3 linked regions of the Sus scrofa genome follow. The protein of the gene in region 1 interacts with the protein of each later gene in a biochemical or structural test. Links are inferred from orthologs where the notes say so. Each region holds a gene or a part of one and is shown in the gene's direction. Other genes may lie near its edges.

Region 1 (3,643 bases):
TAAGGATCCAGCATTGCTGTGAGCTGTGGTGTAGGTTGCAGATGCGGCTCAGATCCCGCATTGCTGTGGCTGTGGCATAGGCTGGCGGCTACAGCTCTGATTAGACCCCTAGCCTGGGAACTTCCATATGCCACGGGAAGCAGCCCTAGAAAAGGCAAAAAGACAAAATAAATAAATAAATAAATAAAGGATCTGGCATTGCCACAAGCTGCAGCATAGGCTGGTTGCAGATGTGGCTCAGATCTGGCATTGATTGCTGTAGCTGTGGTATAGGCCCACAGCTGCAGCTCTGATTCAACCCCTAGCCTGGAACTTCCATTTGTTGCAGGTGCAGCCATTTGAAAAAAAAAAAAAATCCTGCAGAGATACTAATCCTTGTCCTTCCTGGTCTCCAGGCAGGAAGCTGCACTGGGCAACGATGATTCCAAGGCTAACATGCTGTTCTTCCACTTCTTGGACCAACTGAACTATGACTGTGGCCGCTGTGGCCAGGACCCTGAGTGTTTGTTGCTACAGCACAACTTGCGAAAATTCTATCGGGACATTCAGGTACTTGGAGGAGCTGGGAATAACAAAATATGAATGGGAACTGAGCGTAGAGGAGTATGTTTTAGGGTATGGACCATGGAACAAGACCTGGAGGTTCAAAGGGCCAGGGAAAGATCTGGAGAAAAGGGGACAGAGTGTGGACTTGGCAGAGAGACGGGCAGAGTCTAGATGACCCTGTTCAGAAGAGGCTAGAATTTGGGACACCAGTGTTTCAAGGCTTGGGACCCTGAAGGAGGGCGAAATACTGAGGTCACTGGTGGGGAGGATCTGAGGTGGTAGTTCATTGCAGTTGAGTTAAATCAATCCTTTCTCTTCCCCTATTGGCAGGCCATTCCACAGGGCCCTACTCGGTTGGCTGAGATGATATTTAATCTTCTTTTGGAAGAAAAAAGAATTTTGATCCAGGCTCAGAGGGCTCAGTTGGTGAGAACAATTTGGTGGTGATGTTGAAAGCACTTGGATTAGAGAGGGACCATGCAAAGGACTCAGGAAATGTATCTCAGAACAAGATCCCTCCACATCCTATGGTATAATTTCAGGCTTGGATTTCAGGGGGGAAAGGACAGCATTGAAATGTGCTCAGAACCTCTTATTTCAGGAGCAACAAGAGCCAGCCCTTGAAGCACCTGGGGAGAACCAGCAGCATGAGATTGAGTCCCGGATCCTGGAATTAAGGGCTATGATGGAGGTTGGTAGATGTGGCAATAGCCAGGGTGGGCAGGACTCAGCCTGCCTCTTCCCACAGAAGCAGCCTCATCTGGGTTTCATCTCCTCTGCAGAAGCTGGTGAAATCCATCAGCCAGCTGAAAGACCAGCAGGATATCTTTTGCTTTCGATATAAGATCAAGGCCTCAGGTAGGAAGTACATTGAGGGGTGGGAATAAGGTGCCTACTGGGAGGCCAAGGATAGACTAGAGCAGAAGGGAAAAGCTCCAGTAAGCAATACTCACCTTTGGCTACATCTCAGTGGTTATGGTCCTGCTGCCATGCAAAGCGGGAAGTGCTAGGATATATTGCAGAGGTCAGGCTGGAGGTGTGGCTGAGCAACAGCTAGTGAATGTTGGAGGAGAGGCTTGGGAAACTGCCCTATCAGACTGAGTGGACTTCTGGTTCTAGCAAGACCATTCAGAATTCACCTGAAAGCCCAGAGGTGCCTGTGCGCTTTGCTTTCCCCTTCTTCTACCCCCCTCCTGACTCTCACTGAGGTCTGGGTTGGGAAGGAGCGGGGGAGGATCCCTAGATCTGAGTACTTGTCTCACTCCTGCTCCTGCCATCCAGCGAAGACACACTCTTTGGACCCCCATCGGACCAGACAGGAGCAAGTTCTACAGGAAACTCTCAATGAACTGGACAAAAGGAGAAAGGTGGGAAGCAGAGGACAGAAGGAGTGGGCAGCAGGAAACTGGGGAAAAGGAGGCATCTGGGAGCTCTTGTCTCCTAGCCCAGGCTTCTTTGTCTCTTCATCCTTAGTTGGTTGGTGGCGGGTGATGGTGAGAAGCTCTTGGTACTCACTTTACATCTTTCTAGGAGGTGCTGGATGCCTCCAAGGCACTGCTAGGCCGATTAACTACCCTAATCGAGCTATTGCTGCCCAAGTTGGAGGAGTGGAAAGTCCAGCAGCAGAAAGCCTGCATTGGAGCCCCCATGGATGGAGAGTTGGAGCAGCTGGAGAAGTGGTGAGAGGCACCTGCCCGCCGTCGCGTTCACCCAGCCCTAATTCCTAACTACCCCCCTGTGCTTTGTAGGATATAATGCCCTGTATATGACAAGAAGTATTGCCCTCCTTAATCTCTGCTTCCCAGAATGAACCCAGCTCCCTTATCTGACTGCAGCTCTGCTCTGCTCTTCATTCTCACCACCCAGGGAGCCCAGAGCCCAGTCTTTGCTTTGGGGAAAGCAATGAATTAATCCATAATCCAGTTTCTCCTTCCTGTTTAATCACCTGAGAAATATCTTTTTAACTTTTTTTTAGTGCAAATAATGCCAATTATTTTATTATTATTATTATTATTTATTATTATTATTATACCCAGAAAGTTTCTATAATATCATTAAACAAAAATTGGGACTTCTCTGGTGCCTCAGTGGGTTAAGGATCTGGCATTGTCACTGCTGTCATGTAGATTCACTCCGTGGCCCAGGAACTTCCACATGCTGTGGATGTGGCCAACAAAGAAAGAAAGAAGAAAAAACTGAATCATACTATTCATACTATTTTGAGACCTGTGGGTTTGTTTGTTTGTTTTATTTACCAGTATGCTATATTTACTTTTTTTTTCTTTGTCTTTTTGCCATTTCTTGGGCCGTTCCTGCAGCATATAGAGGTTCCCAGGCTAGGGGTCGAATCGGAGCTGTAGCCTCTGGCCTACGCCAGAGCCACAGCAACGCAGAATCCGAGCCACGTCTGCGACCTACACCACAGCTCACGGCAATGCTGGATCCTTAACCCACTGAGCAAGGCCAGGACCCGAACCTGCAACCTCATGGTTCCTAGTCAGATTTGTTAACCACTGCGCCACGATGGGAACTCCTGTTATATCTACTTTTAATGGCTGTATCATAGCTCCCTTCATGGAAGTAATATAATTTAATGAACTATGTTTGAATGCTTAGGTTGTTTTTATTTTTTTTTATTTTAACAATTTTATTCATTCATTCCTTTTTTTTTTTTTTTTTTTTTTTTTGCCACCTGCAGCACATGGAGTTCCCCAGGCTAGGGATCAGATCCAAGCCACAGTTGCAGCAATACCAGATCCTTAACCTCCTGTGCTGGGCGGGGGATAGAACCTGCATCCCAGTGATCCCAAGATGCCACTGATCCCATTTTCCCACAGTGGGAACTCCCATCCATTCATTTATTTATTTTTTGGCCACACCCACAGCTAGCATGCAACCAGGCCAGGGATCAGACCTGAGCCATAGCAGGGGCCCAAACTGCTACAGTGACAACACAGGATCCTTAACGCATTGCACTGCAGGGGAATTCCTAAGTTGTCTTTAATTTCTTGCTATTGTTTTCCAGTAAACTATTTTATATTAATTTTATTGTGACAGAAAAAATAACTAAAGTATCCTTCAGCATATTTGAAAGATA
Region 2 (4,191 bases), on another chromosome or scaffold:
TAATGGGGCCTTCTGGGCCCGGCGCAGACTGAGTGTGCTTGGCTGGGAAGCAGCGCTCACCACTTCCCGGTGCAGGTGAGGGTGTCGGACCTGGGGCCCCTATTGCATCAGGCTGGGGAACAAGGGCTCAGGAGTCCTGCGTCCTCCTCACTTCACGTGGAGGCCTTCGAATCTCGGCCCTGCCACTTCCTGCCTCAGTTTCCCCATCTGCACTCGCTCACGGGCGGACCCAAGAGCAGTCTGTAACCTGCAGAGGCCACGACACAACGCTGGCATCCGGCGGGGAGAAGCTGCCAGCCCTGGTCACCGAGAAGGGTCGCGGAGCAGGGGCGCGGGGAGCCGGGACTGGGCAGAGTCGCCTGCGGGACGGGCAGGCCCGGGCGGCGCCAACTCCGCGCCTGGGGGCCCGGCTTGCTGCCAGGCCGCAGCCAGACCCCTCGCCGCCCAGTCGCCGTCAGAACAAAAGTGGCGGCGGTGCCCGGCGCCCGGCGCCCCGCAGGCCCGGCCCCCGCCGGGCAGTCTAGCCGCCCCGCCACTCGGCCGCACGACGTACGGCAGCCGCGCCTTCGGCCCTTTCCGTCCGAACGCGCTCGGCTCTTTCCGCTGCGGCCGGCGCAGGTGGAGGGGGCGGGGCGGGGGCCGTGCGTGGTGACGCCGCGGGGGGGGGTGACGCACCGGCGTGCCCCGCCCCCTCCCCCTCCCCGTTCAGGCTCTGGAAAGAGAAGAAAAAAAACTTTCTTTTTTTTTTAATTGAGGAATCAACAGCCGCCATCTTGTCGCGGACCCGACCGGGGCTTCGAGCGCGATCTACTCGGCCCCGCCGGTCCCGGGCCCCACAACCGCCCGCGCACCCCGCTCCGCCCGGCCGGCCCGCTCCGCCTGGCCCTCGGCGCCCGCTCCGGCGGCCCCGCTCGCCTCTCGGCTCGGCCTCCCGGAGCCGCGGCGGCGGCGGCGGCGGCGGCGGCAGCGGCGGCGGCGGCGGCGGCGGAACGGGGGGTGGGGGGGCCGCGGCGGCGGCGGCGGCGGCGGCCCCGCTTCGCTCATTGTTTTTCCTCGCGGCGGCGGCGGCGGCGGCGGGCCGCGGGCAGGGAGCGGAGCCCGGAGCCCCCCGGTCGTCGGGCCGCGAGCGAATTAATTAAGTGGGGCGCGGGGGGGGAGCGAGGCGGCGGCGCGGCGGCGGCACCATGTTCCCGGGGACTGCCTGAGCCGCCCGGCCGGGCGCCGTCGCTGCCAGCCGGGCCCGGGGGGCCGCCGGGCCGCCGGGGCGCCCCCGCCGCGGAGTGTCGCGCTCGGGAGGCGGGCAGGGGATGAGGGGGCCGCGGCCGGCGGCGGCGGCGGCGGCGGCGGCCGGGGGCGGGCGGTGAGCGCTGCGGGGCGCTGTTGCTGTGGCTGAGATTTGGCCGCCGCCTCCCCCACCCGGCCCTGCGCCCTCCCTCTCCCTCGGCGCTCGCTCGCGACTCGCGGCTCGCGCTCGCTCTCCCCTCGCAGCCGGCCGGGGCCGGCGCCGACCCCCGCCCCGGAGCCCTCGCCGGCCCCGCCGCCCGCGCTCGGGGCTGTTTTCGCGAGCAGGTGAAAATGGCCGAGAACTTGCTGGACGGACCGCCCAACCCCAAACGAGCCAAACTCAGCTCGCCCGGCTTCTCTGCGAATGACAGCACAGGTGAGTAGGGGGCCGGGCGGGAACAGGGGCCCCGGGGGTCGCTGACAGCCCTGCCCGGAGGTGAGTGCCCCCGGGGGACCCGAACTCGAGGGCGGGCGTGCGGGGCCCTTTCCCCGGGACCCCGGCCGCGGAGGGGGAAGTTTGTCGGAAGACTGCCTGGGGCCCGAGTGGGGCGGCACATGCCCGGTGCGCTCGCATAGCCCGGAGTTGGCGAGCCCTCCTCGCGTGGAGCCCGAGTGGTACTTCCAGGGGGGAAAAGTAAAGCGGAGCGTGTTTGTTCTGCGTGGTGAGTCCCTTTGCCACCCTCTGCCGCCGTGGGTCGACACACGCGTGGCTGTTTGAAGGGATGACAGCGGAGGGTGCGTTTGCCAGTGAGGGAAGGAAAGCGTGCAGCCCAAAGGGGACCCGAAATGTTTTCTGAATTGGTAGCACATTCACAAGGCAACCAGAAGACACGCAGAGCTGCAGCCAGCCTCTTGAGTTACGACTTAGAAGTTTTTTGGAATGTGCTGCTTGGGAAAAATGCTTAGTAGTTACTTTGAAAACTCTTGTTGTTGGTCTCCTGAGCTATCCCATTTTTCACAGCCCCAAACTTCGGAAGACGTCCTAAGTGGGGTGTTTAATTTCAAGACTGTAACTTCGGAAGAAAGTTAAATAGCAGATTGATCCGGGCTGCAATCTGCAAGTGAGCTTGTGTTGCTTTTACAGTGAAGATGTAAGAAGAAAAAATATGTTAAGGAATGGGGGAATTACAGTCTTCCTCCCTAGTTTTTTCGGTAGGATACTGAATAAATTCACTGTTTTAAACATCTTCCCTGGAAACTTTCTTAGGTGATCACATCAATTACCTAAGGGAAGTGTTTTAGTTTTCTATTCATTTATAGTTTTAGGTTCTTCTGGGCTGGTTCATGGTAGCGTTATGAACTAGTTGTATTTCCTCTTTCAGAGCTCTCCTTTGCGTTAAAAACTTGTGCGCTTCGGTGAACGATTTGATCCCCAGCGCAGCTTGCATTTCTCCACTGTGATCTTGCAGTAGCAGCATCTGTAAATCAGTTTATAATGAATGGGTCAGAATTGAATTATATTGCTGCAGCAGTGCCTTCAGATTTGCAGTAGACACAGCTGTTCAGCTTGTGCAAACATTTCTGTGACTGACCACTAGCGTTTTTCTGCTAGTGGTCTAAAAATCTATTGCTATTGTTGGAACAAAACTTGAGTTTTGTGGCTGCAGTTTTACTACAATTCCTAGACTATTTTTTAATGTAGAATTGAGAGAAAGTGTAAAAAAAAAATCATGAGATTCTTGTCTAGTTGAAATGAAATTTGTTGAAACAGTTGGAGAAGAGTCAGTTAAGTCTCATGGTGTATAAAAGTCACCAATAATACTCTTCTTTAAAAAAAAAAAACTGATGAAGTGTTGTGTTTGATGTTAATTTTGTAAAATCAGCTTATCTGAAATGAGAAATGTGAGAACAACCATGATTTCAATGCTCTGATTTTACTGCATTTAAAAAACTCTGATTTTACTGCAGAATAGCTCATCTTGGCTCCATTAATCTTGGCATGTTTGAGTGAAAAATCTTTAATCATATGAAATATAGATCATACTGGACAAGTTTGCTTTGAAGCTTGTCCTCTGAAACGTAACTTTTGAATGGCTTTGCAGCTTTGCTGTTGTTGATTGAGGTTATTTTAGACTTTGCTTTTTATACAGAGGGACAAGGGAGTTACGTGAGACGTAGCAGAAAGGCTTGTCCCACTGTAAACTTGTACCTCTTTTCAAGATGGCACCCAAAGGACTGGCTCTTGGGGCACTTCTGTTATTGGATGGTCAGATATCTACTTAATGTGTGGCTGATCACAGTAAAATTTATCAGAAAGGGTGGATTTTGACCACTTTTTTCCCTTTCTAATTTTGATCCTTTTGAGGCACTGGAGCTCTTTTGCTTTTCCAAATGTGGAACAAAAAAGTCAGTTTTAACAGCTCTGTTTAAATAATCCAAAGAATAAATTCACCTTTATATGTGTGTCGGGTCCTTGGTGGCGCGTTCGGCACCATCATGTCCCTGTGAGAGGGTCTCTTAGTGTCAGGGCCTTGGAAGGGCCCTCACTGAGCACATGAAGCAAGGTACAGCCTTGTCTCCCGTAACTGCTGGTCTGAAGCAGGGCTTAAGGATGTCTGTCAAGGCAAAGCAAGGACTAAAGGGATTAGATTACACGCAGTCAAAGGATCGAAGGCATTTTGTTAAATGGAAACATGGGGAGAGACCTGAGAATAACATTCTCGAGAGACTCAGCCTCATTTAAATGAGGAGATATGGGTTTGTGGCTTCTAGGATAGAATTGGACCGGGCAGGAGTTCCCGTCGTGGCGCAGTGGTTAACGAATCCAACTAGGAACCATGAGGTTGCGGATTCGGTCCCTGCCCTTGCTCAGTAGGTTGACGATCCGGCATTGCCGTGAGCTGTGGTGTAGGTCGCAGACGCGGCTCGGATCCCGAGTTGCTCTGGCTCTGGTGTAGGCCGGCGGCT
Region 3 (4,181 bases), on another chromosome or scaffold:
ATAAGTGCAACCAGGAACTTCCTTCTTCCCTTTAGATCCCCAGATTCTCCGGGGGTATTTTTCCATCTATGCTGTTATTAAAGCAAAACACTAACAAACTGAGAATCAAACCTGAAAATTGATGAGTCACAAAATAATAATCCAATGTTTTTAAAAATGAGGCCCCAAAACTGGATAAATTTACTAAAGTCATTGTTCACTTAAAATGGATGAATTTCACAGTATGTAAATTATACCTCAAAGTTTTTATAAGGCAATATTCAAGCCCATAGTTCTCTACAAATACTCATTTAACCTTACAATTTATAATTAAATTGTTTAGTTGTAATTAACAGCTAAGCATTTGCTTATTTCATCTTTCACCCTTTATATTTTCCCTTTTGAGTATTTTTAATTTTTTAAACAGTTTATTTATTTATATTTGCTTTTTATTTTTAGGGCCCCACCCACGGCTTATGGAGGTTCCCAAGCTGGGGGTCGAATGGGAGCCGCAGCTGCCGGCCTAGCCACAGCCACAGCAACGCCAGATCCAAGCAGTGTCTGTGACCTACACCACAGCTCACGGCAATGTCAGACCCTTAACCCCCTGAGCGAGGCCAAGGATTAAACCCGCAACCTCATGGTTCCTAGTCGGATTCGTTTTTGCTGCGCCAGGCCGGGAACTCCCTTTTTGCGAATTTTTATAAGATACATAATTGATTATTAAGGTGCTTAAATAACCGTTTGAATGATGGACTCAAACCTTTTACTGATAAGGGCAGAAGATCAAAAGAGCTTGGAGAGCGTTGTTCTGGACACCACCCCCAAAGCCCAGAAGCCGTCACCATCTTCTCAAAGAGGCCCTTGCGCCCCAGGCCAAGATCAACGCGTCTCGGCTTCACTCGGAGGCGCCTGCACTTTGCTCACAGCGCTCAGAACAAAGGAAATGGCCTGGCCCGCTCGGAAACTCTCCCCACTGCTTCCTCCCTTAGGACCAAATCCGCCCCAACACCGCTTTGCCAGACTCCGGAGTCCGAGACCGGGCACAGTAGGGTGCGAGCAGAGAGCGCAGAGGTTGCCCGCCGGCTGCAATTAGCGAGGGGGTTGGGAGGAAACACCCGCCTCGAAATTTGCGCAGGCGCACTGGCGAATCTCCGCGTTCCTGCCAGGGTCAAGCCCTCGAGTTACGCGCAGTCTTCCCGGAAAGCGAGGGTGGACAGCAAGTGAGCTGTCACTTTCCGGAAAGGGGGCGGGGGGCAGGCGGTGGAGTCTGGGCGGCCCCTGCCGTCCCACGCGCGTGCGCGGACGGTGGCACGCGCAGAAGGCACGGCGCGTGCGCGGGAGTCGATGGCGGGGGGTGATGAGCGTGGGGCGGGGCGACTGTGGAGGGGCGGGGCGCGAGCGGCGCGAGGGGACAGGGCCGCACGGGTCCCAGGTCCGGGGGTGGCCTGTGCACCCAAGTTTCCCTTGCGCCGCGCTTCCTGATGTGGCCGAAGACGTGATTGGAAGGGCCGGCGGCCGCCCGCGGACGATGCTCGGGTTTCTGGGTGCGACGACCCTGATGCTGGTCGCTGGGGCTCCGTGGGTGTTGCCCGCAGGTGAGAATTAGGGGTCCCGGCGCAGGTGGGGGGCAGGGCGCGAGGCTGGATGGCGGCGGCATGGGAGACCTCGGCCAGGGGAAGTGGGTGGGAGAGACAGACATCCCCTCTGGGAGGCCTCTAGTTTCAGGGCTCACATTTCGACAAAGAAGTGACGTCAGAGATCTTTCCACACCGCTCCTTTGGGGGCGTCCTCCTTGCCATCACTTCTGCCCTGTGCCTGCTCCTTGGATTCCCACCCCCGCAGGGTTGGGTGTGCCTGATCCTTGGGGTGAAGTCTCTTTCTTTCCGAAAAATCCGGTAGCTCGACTGGACCGTTAAATAATAATAAAGGCTTTAGCCATGAGCTATGCTGCCGATCTTGAAACGCGTTTCCTCCACTTAGTAAATAGTTAATTGGTCCTACGTGGGAGGATTTCTCTGCCCTCAGGGTTCGTACAGTCTAATAAAAAAGTAATAATAAAAGAAAAAGTACACAGCCAAAATGCAAAGGCTGGGAGTCACCAGGCTCGTTTGCTGTCTTTCTTGGCTTAGCTGGGTTGGGTGGGGGAATGCAGCTGTGATAAGGTTGACTTTGTAGGAGGAGGAGGACCCACACACAAACAGGGCCTGGCAAACGAGAGCAGGAGTCCAGGGGTTGGTGAGGCCACCTGGAGGACTTGAAAATACTTAACTGCTTAGAAAACCAGACCCTGATTTTCTGGGGTACATGGTATCCGATCTTGTCCTAAAAAATAAAACGGGCAGTTATTTTACCATCACAATGAGTTTCTTCCAGAATAAGCAGAGGAATGGCAGTTTGGGACAAGCAAGCTATAGCAAAAATCATACGCAATTCCAACAACCAAAAAAAAGAAGAATGTTACTTTACAGAGAAAAAGGAGGAAGTCCAGTGGGGTTGTTTTGAGCAAAGTTCATTGGATGAAAGCAAGGGTTGAGGAGAGTTTGGCGTTTCCCGTTGGCCGGGCTTGTTAGGGAGAGGACAGTTCCTCCTGCCGAGGGATGTAATTGACATTGATTGACGTTATGGCTGGCTGCTGTAGTTGATGGTGAGGGCAAGTGCCTGAAGACTCCCAGGTTCTGGCCTTCTGACTTCATTTTAAATGAGGTTACCTGGAGTTCCCTTGTGGCTCAGCAGTTGTGAACGCAGCTAGTATCCAAGAGGATGCGGGTGTGATCCCTAGCCTTGTCCAGTGGGTTAAGGATCCGGCATTGCCATGAGCTGTGGTGTGGGTTGCAGATGTGGCTCGGATCTGGCATTGCTGTGGCTCTGGTATAGGCCAGCAGCTGCAGCACCAGTTTGACCCCTAGCCTGGGAACTTCCATATGCCGCAGGTGTGGCCCTCAAATAACAGTAAATAAATAAATAAATAAGGTTTCCTTTATTCTCTTTCATAAACTCTTCCACAAATACAGCATATAGTATAGTATATGGGTACTAGGGTCTTGGTATAACCCCTGGTAATTTCTTCAGAGTCTTTTGTTCATGAAGATTTTGCATGGAACTCACGTTTGCCTTTGTATTAAAAAGAATTTCCCAGAGTTCCTGTCATGGCTCAGCGGAAACGAGTCAGACTAGCACCCAGGAGGAGGACACAGGTTCGATCCCTGACCTTGCTCAGGGGCTTGGAGATCTGGCATGGTCGTGAGCTGTGACGTAGGCTGGCAGCTACAGCTCTGATTCGACCCTTGGCCTGGGAACCTCCATATGTGCAAGTGCGGCCCTAAAAAGACAAACGACAAAAAAAAAAAAAAAAAAAAAATTTCCCCAGAATTTTCCTGTAAAATTTACATTCCAGGAGGACATTCATTAAGATCATAGTTCTAATCCAGATTAGAGGAGAGCAGAAATAAACTTCATACGCAACTGCCATTCATGGCCCTCTTCACTATGTGCCAGCCGCTGTTCTCAGTGCTTTAAAGATATGACCTCGTTCAGCTTTCAGAACAAAGCTAGTCACTATTATCCTCGTTTTACAGATGAGCAGACTGAAGCCATACAGCTAGCCCGTGATGTAGGGGGAAATCCAACCCTGAGACTCTGGCCTCAAAGCCCTGGAGCCTAAGGCTAGACTTTTTTCTAAAGGTCGCATGATTTGATTATCCACCTATATGTTAAGGGCTCAGTTATCTTTGAATTAACTAATCGACTTTTTTTTTTTTTTTTTTTGGTCTTTTTTGCCATTTCTTGGGCCGCTCCCGTGGCATATGGAGGTTCCCAGGCTAGGGGTCCAATCGGAGCTGTAGCCACTGGCCTACACCACAGCCACAGCAACGCGGGATCCTTAACCCACTGAGCAAGGCCAGGGATCGAACCCGCAACCTCATGGTTCCTAGTCAGATTTGTTAACCACTGAGCCACGACGGGAAATCCTAATCGACTTTTTTCTCAAAGGAAAAGTAATGTTCAAAACTAAATGAAATGTTAACTCTACCTTGAGATCATAATGTTACTTTGTTTTTCAAAGCCATCAAAATATTCATACTTTTAAACTTAGTACATTCAGTTCTGGGATCCTCATCTAAGAAAACTATCCAGAAGATGGGAGGAAACTTATATTCGTATGAATATATGTGTTGGGATTTATGTCAGGCTTAAAAACA

The links. The genes of interacting proteins can lie anywhere in the genome.
Region 2: the proteins of STAT2 (region 1) and CREBBP form a complex in vitro, tested with the Homo sapiens proteins (2 studies listed by BioGRID). The link is inferred for Sus scrofa from reciprocal best matches to the Homo sapiens genes STAT2 and CREBBP.
Region 3: the proteins of STAT2 (region 1) and IFNAR1 form a complex in vitro, tested with the Homo sapiens proteins (2 studies listed by BioGRID). The link is inferred for Sus scrofa from reciprocal best matches to the Homo sapiens genes STAT2 and IFNAR1.

What each region holds. Positions count from the first base shown.
Region 1 is NC_010447.5:21,742,440-21,746,082, reverse strand, and holds part of STAT2 (signal transducer and activator of transcription 2), read left to right. Parts: intron 1-395; coding exon 396-549; intron 550-876; coding exon 877-972; intron 973-1,147; coding exon 1,148-1,237; intron 1,238-1,328; coding exon 1,329-1,404; intron 1,405-1,827; coding exon 1,828-1,913; intron 1,914-2,076; coding exon 2,077-2,225; intron 2,226-3,643. UniProt on the Homo sapiens protein: Signal transducer and activator of transcription that mediates signaling by type I interferons (IFN-alpha and IFN-beta).
Region 2 is NC_010445.4:38,386,993-38,391,183, forward strand, and holds the start of CREBBP (CREB-binding protein), read left to right. Parts: upstream 1-1,373; 5' UTR 1,374-1,575; coding exon 1,576-1,660; intron 1,661-4,191. UniProt on the Homo sapiens protein: Acetylates histones, giving a specific tag for transcriptional activation. Mediates acetylation of histone H3 at 'Lys-18' and 'Lys-27' (H3K18ac and H3K27ac, respectively).
Region 3 is NC_010455.5:196,924,368-196,928,548, forward strand, and holds the start of IFNAR1 (interferon alpha/beta receptor 1), read left to right. Parts: upstream 1-1,363; 5' UTR 1,364-1,510; coding exon of another isoform or gene 1,511-1,577; intron 1,578-4,181. UniProt on the Homo sapiens protein: Together with IFNAR2, forms the heterodimeric receptor for type I interferons (including interferons alpha, beta, epsilon, omega and kappa).